Linked DNA regions of Macaca fascicularis. The main gene of each other region encodes a partner of the protein of the gene in region 3 in a complex. Links are inferred from orthologs where the notes say so. Each region holds a gene or a part of one and is shown on either strand. Other genes may lie near its edges. The genes, in order: MLF1, GATAD1 and YWHAE.

Region 1 (3,487 bases), on a different chromosome or scaffold from region 3:
CTTTAAACCTAACTTTTATAAAAACAGATTAATGTTTAAATTCTAGAATAAAAATGCTAAAGCTGATTTTTAATGGTACAATTAAAACAGAAACAACTGAATTATTAAGATGTTGCTCAAAACCACCCATCAGCTGTCTAACAAATTCTGAGACAATGTATCATTCTGGTTTGGAGAATACTAAATGTATTTTTCTAAATGTCCCAAAAAAGCTGAGCAGAGTTTTCTCCAAGGACTCTCCAGCTTTAGAATGTTAGTCTTGGAGATAGATGAAGCTGTCTGTGGGAAAGGAGAGCAGAAATATGCCACATTAAGAAGTTAAAGAGAATGGTCAATATGATATCTGATGAATATTAAGAATGTAATATAGAAAAGATACATTCTATAAAGAAATTATAACCAAAACAATCATGTACATTAGCAATTTAAAATATTTTTCTCCGAAAATGAACTATTTGATTATTCTTGTCCTTTATCAAAATAATAACTATTTTCTCATAAAAGAGTACCAGTGTAGTTTTGCTTTATTATTTTTAAAGTTTTAATCTAGCTGGCTGTACAACACATTATAAAATTAGAGATAAATTATTTAAACCTTTATTAATATCACCCGAGTACAGTGTTAGTAAAAACTGAGAAATTTTTAACATTATAATGTCTTATAACTAATTATAAGTGACAGAACTGCTCTGCAATCAATCTTGATAAATATAAAAGAATACCTAGCCAACACAAAAACAACTGGGGAAGCAAAATCAGCATATAAGCTTTAAAAAATCAGTATGTTTTAAAGAGTTTTATATTAAATAGACTGTTTCACAATTTACTCACATTGTTGAAAATCAAAATTTTATTCCTAAAAGAGGGACAATATAAAGCTAGGACCTTCATGAACATTCAGGTATCAGAAGAAAGTTGCCAAGGACAGAACTGATTTAACAGCAAGAGATTGGTCTTATGCTTATTACCCAGCACCATTACTAACTGTTAAAACAACCAAAACTAAGCAAATCAAATGCATGGCTATTTATTTTTTGTTGCTTTTCACAGATGAGCCTTTGATGTGGAGTTTATCCCCCAAAACATTTGATCTTCTTCCACGTTCAATGGCTGGACTTTGTTGAGGTTTCTCCCTGAGAAATATACATGTGAATATTAATATGATTTATAAAATGGCCAATGGTTTATAAATCAATAAACATGTTAAAAACCACTGTAACATAAGAAAACTTTTATCTTAAAAGTTCCTTAATAGCTTTGAAAAACAAGGCTGGCCAGGTGTGGTGGCTTACGCCTGTAATCCCAGCACTCTGTGAGGTCGAGGTGGGCAGATCACGAGGTCAAGAGATTGAGACCATTCTGGCGAACATGGTGAAACCCCATCTGTACAAAAAATTAGCTGGGCGTGGTGATGTGCACCTATAGTCCCAGCTACTCAGGAGGCTGAAGCAGGAGGACTGCCTGACCCTGGGAGGTGGAGGTTGCAGTGAGTCGAGATTGCGCCACTGCACTCCAGCCTGGTGACAGAGCCAGACTGTCTCCCCCTCCAAAAAAACAAAAACAAACAAACAAACGGGAAAAACAAGGCAGACTATTTCAGTGAATTTAAAACAGCAACAGCTGTTTTCCTGAGATAGATTTAACTGTTTATAGTTTAAACACTGTTTAATGTTAACGGTATGGTAGCCACTAACCACATTTATATTTGAATTAAACTAAAATAATTTAATACTTCAGTTTTACCAGCAATGGTTCAAATGTGAATCAACAGCCACATGTGGCTAGTAATTACTACACAGGACAGAATAGATATATAGCATTTTTCTCATTACCGAAGTCATTTCAGGAAATGCCATTGGACAGTGCTGGTTAAGAGAAAATGCCACTGTTAGGGCCAGAAATTTATAGGTCATCCATAAAGAGTATGCCTTCTCTAAGTGGGACCTGGATTTCCTATTCAAACTTGGCACTGCTAGGTTTTTAATCAGTACATTTTTCAAATGAGAAAAATATCTGTAATTAATATAGGAGCAAGTTTTCAAGCAATTCAATAGAAAATACCAGGTCTCTAAATTCCTAAACAAGTGTTTTAGAAGAAAAGATCCTAGCATATGAAATTCTCCATAAGGCTTCTGATTTACTTGATACTCACTTGTCCACCGCTAGTTCTGTGAAGCCTTCTACCTTCTGCAGCAATTCTCCACTCTCTTATAGCTTAGAACAGATTTCTATTTAAGGTCTGGTGAGGCCTTTCTCTTTAGTGTAACTTCATAGGAAATAGATATTATTATTCACTTCCCCCCCCGCAGAGAACCACATTAAACTGTAGCTCCAGGGTATGTACAAAATGTATTTTAAAATCTCTATAATATTTATTTATTCATTTTTGAGATAGAGTCTCAGTCTGTCACTCAGGCTGTAGTGCACCGGTGTGATTTTGGCTCACCACAACCTCCGCCTCCTGGGTTCAAGCGATTCTCTTGCCTTAGCCTCCCAAGTAGCTGGGATTATAGGTGTATGCTACCATACCTAGCTAATTCGTATTTTTAGTAGAGACGGGGTTTCACCATGTTGGCCAGGCTGGTGTCAAACTCCTGACCTCAAGTGATCCACCTGCCTCGGCCTCCCGAAGTGCTGGGATTACAGGCATGAGTCACCATGCCCAGCCAGAAATCTCTATAATCCTTAATATGTGGTTTCAGCAAATTTATTTTTCTCAGCTATACTAAAAGGGAATTGTAAAATAAGCTAATGTTCTTGCAAAATTCTTCCAAAACACCTAAAACACATCAAATATGGTATTGCATGTACTGTTACATATTGTACCCGTGTCTGAAATTTCATTTACGATTACATGATAAATTGTGATTTGTTAAGGAAGTTGTTAAGTCTTCCAAATACAGCCCCTCTCCCCTTAACATATCTCTAGGTATCTTTACCAGTGTGAAATGTATAACTCTATAACCATATTAGAATCTGTTTTACAAGAATAACTACTCCGTAGCAAATCAGTTTTCCTGAAGAGGATTTTGGTCTCTGTCTTCTGAGGCATAATTTACTAGTGAATTACTAACCATACAATCCTAAACTATTATTGATTTTTAGATATAAATTTAAATTTGTGCGGAATACTCAGTTTTAGTATAAAATTATAACATCTTTCACAAAAGATACTGTGGATACAACTTGGATGATCATCAAAACTTTCTGATAACAGAAATAAAATTATGTAACTTTACTTCAAATTCTTCTTTAAAAACCAAACTATTTTAGAAACAACTTTTACCTTCTTTTAAGTTCTTGGGAGCCAGGATTCTCATGACCAACACTTCTCATTCTAGTGTTTTCTAGATTGTGTCGTCCTGGTTTGTACTTCAAAACCTCACTTTGCCATTCCTCATCAAAAGCATGAGCATCATCTATGTTAAATAGAAAAATAATGGGAATAAGTATTAAGGTATCAACTGTCAGTAATTGCCTTGCTCCC
Region 2 (3,749 bases), on a different chromosome or scaffold from region 3:
TGTAACAAACCTGCACGTTCTGCACATGTATCCCAGAATTTAAAGTAAAATTTTAAAAAATTAATTAAATTAAATTACATTAAAAAAAAAAAAAGAAAATAGTCTGCCATCTGCATAAGTCTACTGCAGGGTCCCTTTGTGTTTTAGAAATAAATATGCCCGACTTCAAAAATGTCTTTACGGGTAAGTGAAACATTCCTGTTCTGAAAGAAAAGAATACCATACTGAGACTTAAAAAAATAGTCCATAATGCACTGTCCATTGTGTTTGAACATTATCCCTTGTTTATAAAAACTGATAATTTAATTGCAATAAAAATATGCTTTCAATTATTTCCAGCACAGGTCTTTCAACAATGTCTTTTCTTAGAGTAGAAGAGAGAAGGCTTAGCAGAATTTTTGACTCATATTCATCAAATACATCATCATCATAAGTCAATAAGATACATTTTCTGGGGCTTTAATAATAAATAAATATGCAAATGATGAGTTCTAGTGTTAATATTTACTTAATTTTTAAAGAATGAAAAAAAAGTTTTCTTAGTGTACCTGGCCATATCAAGAACCATAATCTCTCCTCTTCCTTTCCATAGAGAACCCCAAAAAATGGGCTCAAGGCTGATGTTTCTTTTAAACTCATATTTTATATTTTCCAGGGGAAAAAAATAAAAGCTAAAAAAAAAAAAAAAAAAAGGAAAGAGTATTATTACCTTTAAAAATAGTGAGCCTCCTGCAACAGAGCTCATTCCCTTTTGGGGAGTCTGGACCACTCCCCAGAATACTAAGGAAGGGCTACCAAGGGCAGAGTCCAAGTTCAATGGCGGGAAATGAAGGCAGTGGCAGGATACACACAACATCATTACAGTAAAAGGCACTGTCCACAAATATCTTACATTTTTCAATTTAAATATATGTCTTCTCCCTTTTCCTTTGGTGGAAACTTTCTTCTCAGCAGCCGGAGCAGATTTGTATTTAGTGTTTCTGAGCCGAGCAGACCTCCTGTGAATTTCCTGCTTACTCTGTTACACAAACAAATTAAAGAACAGAGAAAGAAGTAAAAAGTGTATACAGGTTGCAATACAATCATCTTACAAGGATCCCAGAGTATGTACTTTATAGGAGTATTTAACAATTAAGAGTGCGCCTTTGCTTTTCAACAGAGGTAATTTCAGCAACTGGGCTAAGTAAAACCGGAAGTTCAGCACCGGAATCTCGGAGCTCGCTGGATAGGCGTCTCCAGAGCCTCCAAAAGGTGTGAGCTGCTTGTAATAAGTCAGGAGGCGGAAGTAAGAGTCAGTCTGGGCCAAGACAAACACTATTCATTTGTTGTGTCTACAATAGAGAAAAACACTTAACAACTTTACTCCCTAAGGCCAGATAACGTATTAGGTTATGGCGCCTCCTACAACTGAATACTTAAGCTGCCATTTACAATAATGACATAATAATCTTACTTCATAACCTGATATGACAAAACCTTTAACAAGCAATGAGGTCCAGCACCTGCACTTGTGGCATGACCCTGTTTACGACTGTGTAGACGTGTGCATATTGAGATTTTCTTAAGGGCTTTACATTTTGGTTCTTATTGCTTTGAATTTCTTATAACAGGTGCTTTGGAATGGGTCAAACCAAAGATCTCAGTAGGAGGTGGGGAGGGGCGTTCCAGCCGGCAGGACCACGGCGAGCCGGGAAGCCCGGGCCCGCCCGCTCCCAACCCGCCCGGCCCCTGCCGCCTAGCGCCCGGTCGGCCTCCGCCGGCGGGAGGGGCCGGAGGAGCTCACCTGCTTGCCGCCCCCGCCCCCGTTGCTCTGCGGAGGAGTGGCGGAGGTGCTGGCGAAGGTCGCCGCGCCGAAGCCGCCGCCACCGCCGCTGCTGCCCCCAGTCCCTCCAGCCGCCCCCGAGCCTGCGCCCCCGCTGCCCGCGCCGCCCCGGCCAGTGCAATGATGGCAGAGGATCTCCCCCTGCGTGCCCTTCTTCCACATGGAGGACGACGTGGTCTTGCATACGCTGCAGGTGGGCTTCAGGCCCAGCGGCATGGTGGCCGGCTCGGGCGGCCCCCGCGGGCGCAGAGACACGGGAATGGCGGACGCTAGCCCGGCCGCCCCCTGGTCGGCCCACCACTCCCGGCGATAGGAAGAGCAGTGAGGGCGACAGCACCGAGCTGCCCGTGAAGGGACTAGGCCGCTAGCGCTGCCGCGTGGAGGCGGGAAGCGGGTTCCGCCGGTTCCGCCGGCTCGGCGCCCAGCACCAGCCCCGGGAGGCCCGAGGCACTGGGAAGCAGGACCGGGAACGGGATATGGCCGGCGGGGACGCGGAGGCTTCCGGCGGTGAGCTGGCCCCAGGGCCGCGCAGCCCGACCGCCTGACCGGAAGTGCAGCACCCGGAATTACTGGGAGCTTGCGGTAGTTCCGCTTGCTGTCGCCTAGGGGCGCGGTTCTCAAACTTTTTGGTGTCAGGCCTAGAATTTGCGGGGTAAAATGCAGGACCAATGAAATGTGACTTTCAGGTAAACGACGAACAATTGTTTTTAGCGTGAGTGAATTTCATGCAATAATGGTTTATCTGAGAGGAGTTTAACTGGGAGTCCTGTATTTTTATGTGCTAAATCTGGCAATCCAGGTCTGGCGTGGTGGCTCACGCTTGCAATCCCAGCACTTTGGGAGACCAAGGCTGGCGGATTACTTGAGCTCAGGAGTTCGAAATCAGCCTGGCCAACATGGTGAAACCCCTTCTCTACTAAAAATACAAAAGTTAGCCAGGCTCAGTAGTGGCGGGCTCCGGGGTAATCCCAGCTACTCTGGAGGCTGCGGCAGAAGAATCTCTTGAGTGCGGGAGGTAGAGCCTGCAGTGAGCCAAGATCATGCCATTGCACTTCAGCCTGGGGGATAGAGTGAGACTCTGACTCAAGAAAAAAAAAAAAATCTGGCAATCTTTCTCAGGACCCCTTTACACTCTTAAAAATTATAATTTGGACATGCCCCTACATCTCCCCCCAACCCATACTTTTGTTTAGTTGAATTCAGAGCATGCCATTTACGGACATCGACAAGGGATTCAGAAAATGCCATCCACTGACATTTATGTTTTAGAAATTGAAATTGAGACATTTTACAGCCTAAGATGTCAAGCGCACATTCTTCAGCCATTGGGTAATATCGTTGCAAGTCCCTTGGACTCTGAAGAGTATACCGATTAGAGAATGTGGAGAAAATTGAATAACTGGCTGTTATTCAATTCAAAACTGTTGGAAAACAGTTTTGGCTCTGAGGACCCAGCAGTTGACAAACAGCGGGCCTGGGACAAGCGCAGTATGAGAAGTCAGATCGCCTCTTCTAATGTCACTAGTCAGTACAGGCCTCGCCAGACAAGTCTCTCCTCAGCCTCATTTGGAAGAGCATGTCCTCTCTTCATGATCCTGGGTTTCCTAGACTTAGTATCCTTGGAAAAGTCTTGATGAATATATTGTGGTGGGAAGCAATGGGGAGAAACAAATGCCTATTATGTCACAAAACCACATTTAGTGCTTATGACAACCTTGGAATGAGATATTATCAGATTTTACTGTTAATTGGTGATCAACAGAGGCACTTCTGTGTGAACTGGCTGTCATTATAGCTGCTGCCGTTGGCACCAATTTCGAGGAGGACTTTGGAGCAGCCCTCTGGGGTGTGGGTTGTGGCTCAGTCATCCCCCCTCTAAATCTGTTTCCGTAACAGTAAAAATAAGTTTCCAGGACTCTTATGGGGA
Region 3 (3,749 bases):
TTTTCCTGAATACAGCTTAGCTCTTCCTCCCGTACCATTAAATAATCCATATAAATTGATTCCAACGCCCCAGGATAGAATTAAATGAGGGTACATGTAAGTTTAGGCATTAATTCAACACAGCAAGCAAAATAAAATAGGCCTACTGCAGTTAACAGAAAGATAAAAGAGCAGCTGGAAAACCAGCATTTGGGTACAAGTATCCAACAAAGAAATCCTGCTAATATACTGTCTTACCTTCTTCCACCACCGACACCTGCTAAATTCTGTTTGGTGACCAGGACTCCGGCAACACTTCGTCCCAGAAACAAAAAAATATTGCACTCAATAAAGGAATGGACACAGGCAGAGGACACAGGTAGAAATTCCTGGTGTCTGTCTCCTTCTCCTCCTCTCCTTTCTACTGAATCCCTACCATATGCCCCAAGTCACAGGAATAGCTCCTCACCTTGCAGATTCTATTTCCTTACCCCTTTAGATCCTGAAGGGGACACCTAACATTAACAACTGTAAGGATGTGGCTTTATCAGAGTCCTATGTTCAATAACCAGTAAGGGCTCTGGTCAGAAATCTTCACCACTCACATCAAAAATATAATTATCACTAACCTGTCATTTAATTGGAAACTACAATCATAAGCTTTCAAATCGGTTTTTTAAAGGAGCTTTCAAAAAAAAGACCTTCTCTCACATCCTTTCTAGTTATCACAGCAAGTTTACTCAGAGCTCCAATGCCCACAAAACAGAAAGCATTCAAGTATAATTTGTTTCCTCCCAAGAACACTAATAGATGAAGAGGGGAACATCTGGAGATGAGGAGCGGAGGAGGAGACTTCCAATACAAGCACATCTTTATCTGTTTGATTTTTAAACACTGAAATAAAGACAAAGCTGACCTTGAGCTGCACTTCCCCACCTAATTCCCCTCCCTCTCCCAACAGGAATCTTGTTCAATACAAATAGCAATTTAACAATTTACAAGACGAAATTTAGTTTAGTATTATTCCAAATTTGACTTCTAGAGGCCTTGTCTTATTTTCAAATCCCTGAATCCTCGTTTCTGATAAGGGGGAGTAGCCCTGAGGTTATTCACATGACTAAATCTGCATTTCCAGGAAAGCAACGGCCCTACACAACATTTTGAAATACAGGTAGCTTAATCAGGAAAAATCTAAGGATCAAAGATACTTGATTCCAACCATGTCTCATCCCACCCTACCACACAAAAGCATTAAAACCACAGGACCCACATACATGACTTTTCCTTTAATACTACAGTATCGCACAATTATAAATGTGAGGGTATTTCAAAAGGTGGACTGGGAGGGAGGACTAAGAATAAACTTCCTGACAATGACTAGACAGACACAATGGATATTTCGATAAAGTTATGAAAAAGGACTGGAGAACCCGTTATGGGCAAAGGAACAACGAACAAAGAGGAACTACTAAAATTTCTACATAAACCCATTTATTTGAAATGGAAAAAAAGAAAGCAACAGGATCTCCAACCTTCATAACTCAAAAACCCCAGCCTCAGCCGAGTGCCTGGAATAGGTTAAGCTCCCCCACGAAGTACAGACCAGCATCCCGAGCCTGCAGAGTCAACCAAAATACAGTGACTGAACACTATTGGAAATAACTTTATTTCAACAGGTCTTTCCATGTGTCATGATGGTGCGCACAAACTGTAAAGTCATCGTTTTTACAAACGGGTGGACTGAGGCTCGGGCCCTACAAAGGCTCGAACTCTCAGAGTCGTGGCCTCCTGGTCTCCTGCTTCTATCCATCAGAACCCACTGGTGATGCAGTCAGAGAAAGGTTACAGGAACTTCGAGGTCTCCCGTTTTAAGTCTGAGGAAAGGGGAGGGAGTGAGGGTTTTCTGGGCCTCCCCAGCAGGCGGCGAGGAGGAAAAGCCCCAAACCCCCTCACTACGAGGTGCCGGCCCACGGGAGAGAAACCCGATCGCAGCGTCGGCGCCTGCCACCGCCCCAGACGAACCGCAGTGATTCCCGCTCACCCCTCTCCCCCCACCATCACCCGGGACTGTCCCCCGCCTCAGGCCTGAGGAAGCCCATCGCTCTGAAGGCTTCTCCTTTGTGAGACTCCACGGCCGCCGCCCCACACGGGGCCTCCGGGGAAAAGCCACCGCCCCCACCCGCCATATTTCCCTGAAAGGCGCCCGCGCTACAGCTCCCGGTCTCCGCTCTCTCCCATGTGGCGGGTGCTGCTTCCCCCGTCACCGCACCCAATTGTTCTCCACATCCCAAGACCGTCCCAGAAGCTCCCCTGAGGGCTGCTCGTTCGGAGACAGCACCCGCCATCTCCTCCCCCTCCCCCGCCCCGAGACTCGCCCTCCCCCCAGCCGCCATTTTACAACCAACTCCTCCACCCCGTCTCCCCGGCCTCCCGGCCCGCGAGTTGTTTGCAGTTAAGGACGGCGAAGGGGTCACATTCCAAGGCATACAGCCTCCCATTGCCCCGGGAGCTCCCAGGCCATTTCCTGCTTCCCGAACCCAAGCCCCCGGGCCAGGCTCGCAGACGATGCCGCCATTTTGTCTCCTGTTCCCGGCCTCTGTGGGCGGCGGCAGAGGGAACGAGAATTCCAGCCCCCCGCTGCCCCCCCAACTCACCGTCGTATCGCTCAGCCTGCTCGGCCAGCTTCGCCTGGTACACCAGATCCTCTCGATCATCCATAGCGGCAGCGGCTCCGGCAGGGTCTGCGCGACGGATGGAAGCGGATAGTGTCTCCGACTCTCTCAGCCTCTCGCTCCGCGTCCGGGCAGCAAAAATGGCGGCGCCTCAATCCGGGACTTCCGCCTGCGCACGCGGACAACTGCTCAGCTCTATGGCAACCGCTCCCTGGCAACTGGCGCGGGGGGCGGGTCCTGGAACTCGGCGCCCGAAGAGGCTGGAACCAGCGCAGGAGACGCCCCTCCTCCGTCGGCTCAGCGGGCGCCGGAGCCCAGAGGCGGGAACTGCGACTGCTGAGAGGGAGCGGCCCCCGGGGAACGGGAAGGGCTGAGGCGGGGCCGGCCGGGACTGCTCCTGAAAAAAGCCGGCGGGAAACCTGGGCCCGAGGCCCGACCTGCGGAAGAGAACGACTGAGGCGCTAACGGTTTCTGTCATGGCAGGTCTTCCTCCCCGAAAGCAGCGGCTGTCACTACCGTGTCCTGGTTTCCTTTTGTGTTTTTGTTTTTTTTTTGAGACGGAGTTTCGCTCTTGTTCCCCAGGCTGGAGTGCAGTGGTGCGATCTCGGCTCAACACAACGTCTGCCTCCCGGGTTCAAGTGATTCTCCTGCCTCAGCCTCCCGAGTAGCTGGGATTTCAGGCGCCCGCCACCAAGCCCAGCTACCTTTTGTATGTTTAATAGAGACGGGGTTTCACCATGTTGGTCAGGCTGGTCTCGAACTCCCGACTTCAAGGTGATCCGCCCACCTCGGCCTCCCAAAGCGCTGGGATTACAGGAGTGAGCCACCGCGCCCGGCCCGCGTCCTGGGTTTCTCCGCCACTCCTGGTCATGGGCCCATTTCAGACACTTTTACACTCAGGGTAACGAACTGGGCCCTGGCCGGGCGCAGTGGCTCACACCTGTAACCCCAGCACCTTGGGAGGCCAAGGCGGGCGGATCACAAGGTCAGGAGTTCGAGACCAGCCTGGCCAACATAGTGAAACCCCGTCTCTACTAAAAATACAAAAAATTAGCTGGGCGTGGTGGTACATGGCTGTAATCCCAGCTACTCAGGAGG

The links.
Region 1: the proteins of YWHAE (region 3) and MLF1 are in contact, whole or in part, in a crystal structure (PDB 3UBW), measured with the Homo sapiens proteins. The link is inferred for Macaca fascicularis from reciprocal best matches to the Homo sapiens genes YWHAE and MLF1. Residues at the interface, in NP_006752.1 of Homo sapiens: Lys50, Asn51, Arg57, Arg61, Lys123, Arg130, Tyr131, Glu134, Pro168, Gly172, Leu175, Asn176, Val179, Tyr182, Glu183, Leu219, Ile220, Leu223, Asp226, Asn227, Leu230, Trp231; in NP_071888.1 of Homo sapiens: Arg31, Ser32, Phe33, Ser34, Glu35, Pro36, Phe37.
Region 2: the proteins of YWHAE (region 3) and GATAD1 are in contact, whole or in part, in a crystal structure (PDB 8Q1S), measured with the Homo sapiens proteins. The link is inferred for Macaca fascicularis from reciprocal best matches to the Homo sapiens genes YWHAE and GATAD1. Residues at the interface, in NP_006752.1 of Homo sapiens: Asn43, Ser46, Val47, Lys50, Arg57, Arg61, Lys123, Arg130, Tyr131, Gly172, Leu175, Asn176, Val179, Tyr182, Glu183, Lys215, Asp216, Leu219, Ile220, Leu223, Asn227, Leu230, Trp231; in NP_066990.3 of Homo sapiens: Thr98, Lys99, Tyr100, Lys101, Ser102, Ala103, Pro104, Ala105, Ala106, Glu107.

What each region holds. Positions count from the first base shown.
Region 1 is NC_088376.1:61,538,552-61,542,038, reverse strand, and holds the end of MLF1 (myeloid leukemia factor 1), read right to left. Parts: intron 3,420-3,487; coding exon 3,287-3,419; intron 1,134-3,286; coding exon 1,028-1,133; 3' UTR 507-1,027; downstream 1-506. UniProt on the Homo sapiens protein: Involved in lineage commitment of primary hemopoietic progenitors by restricting erythroid formation and enhancing myeloid formation.
Region 2 is NC_088377.1:128,910,469-128,914,217, forward strand, and holds the start of GATAD1 (GATA zinc finger domain-containing protein 1), read right to left. Parts: upstream 2,316-3,749; 5' UTR 2,039-2,315; coding exon 1,784-2,038; intron 1,019-1,783; coding exon 893-1,018; intron 672-892; exon of another isoform or gene 1-671. UniProt on the Homo sapiens protein: Component of some chromatin complex recruited to chromatin sites methylated 'Lys-4' of histone H3 (H3K4me), with a preference for trimethylated form (H3K4me3).
Region 3 is NC_088390.1:1,505,484-1,509,232, forward strand, and holds the start of YWHAE (14-3-3 protein epsilon), read right to left. Parts: upstream 2,810-3,749; 5' UTR 2,698-2,809; coding exon 2,634-2,697; intron 1-2,633. UniProt on the Homo sapiens protein: Adapter protein implicated in the regulation of a large spectrum of both general and specialized signaling pathways. Binds to a large number of partners, usually by recognition of a phosphoserine or phosphothreonine motif.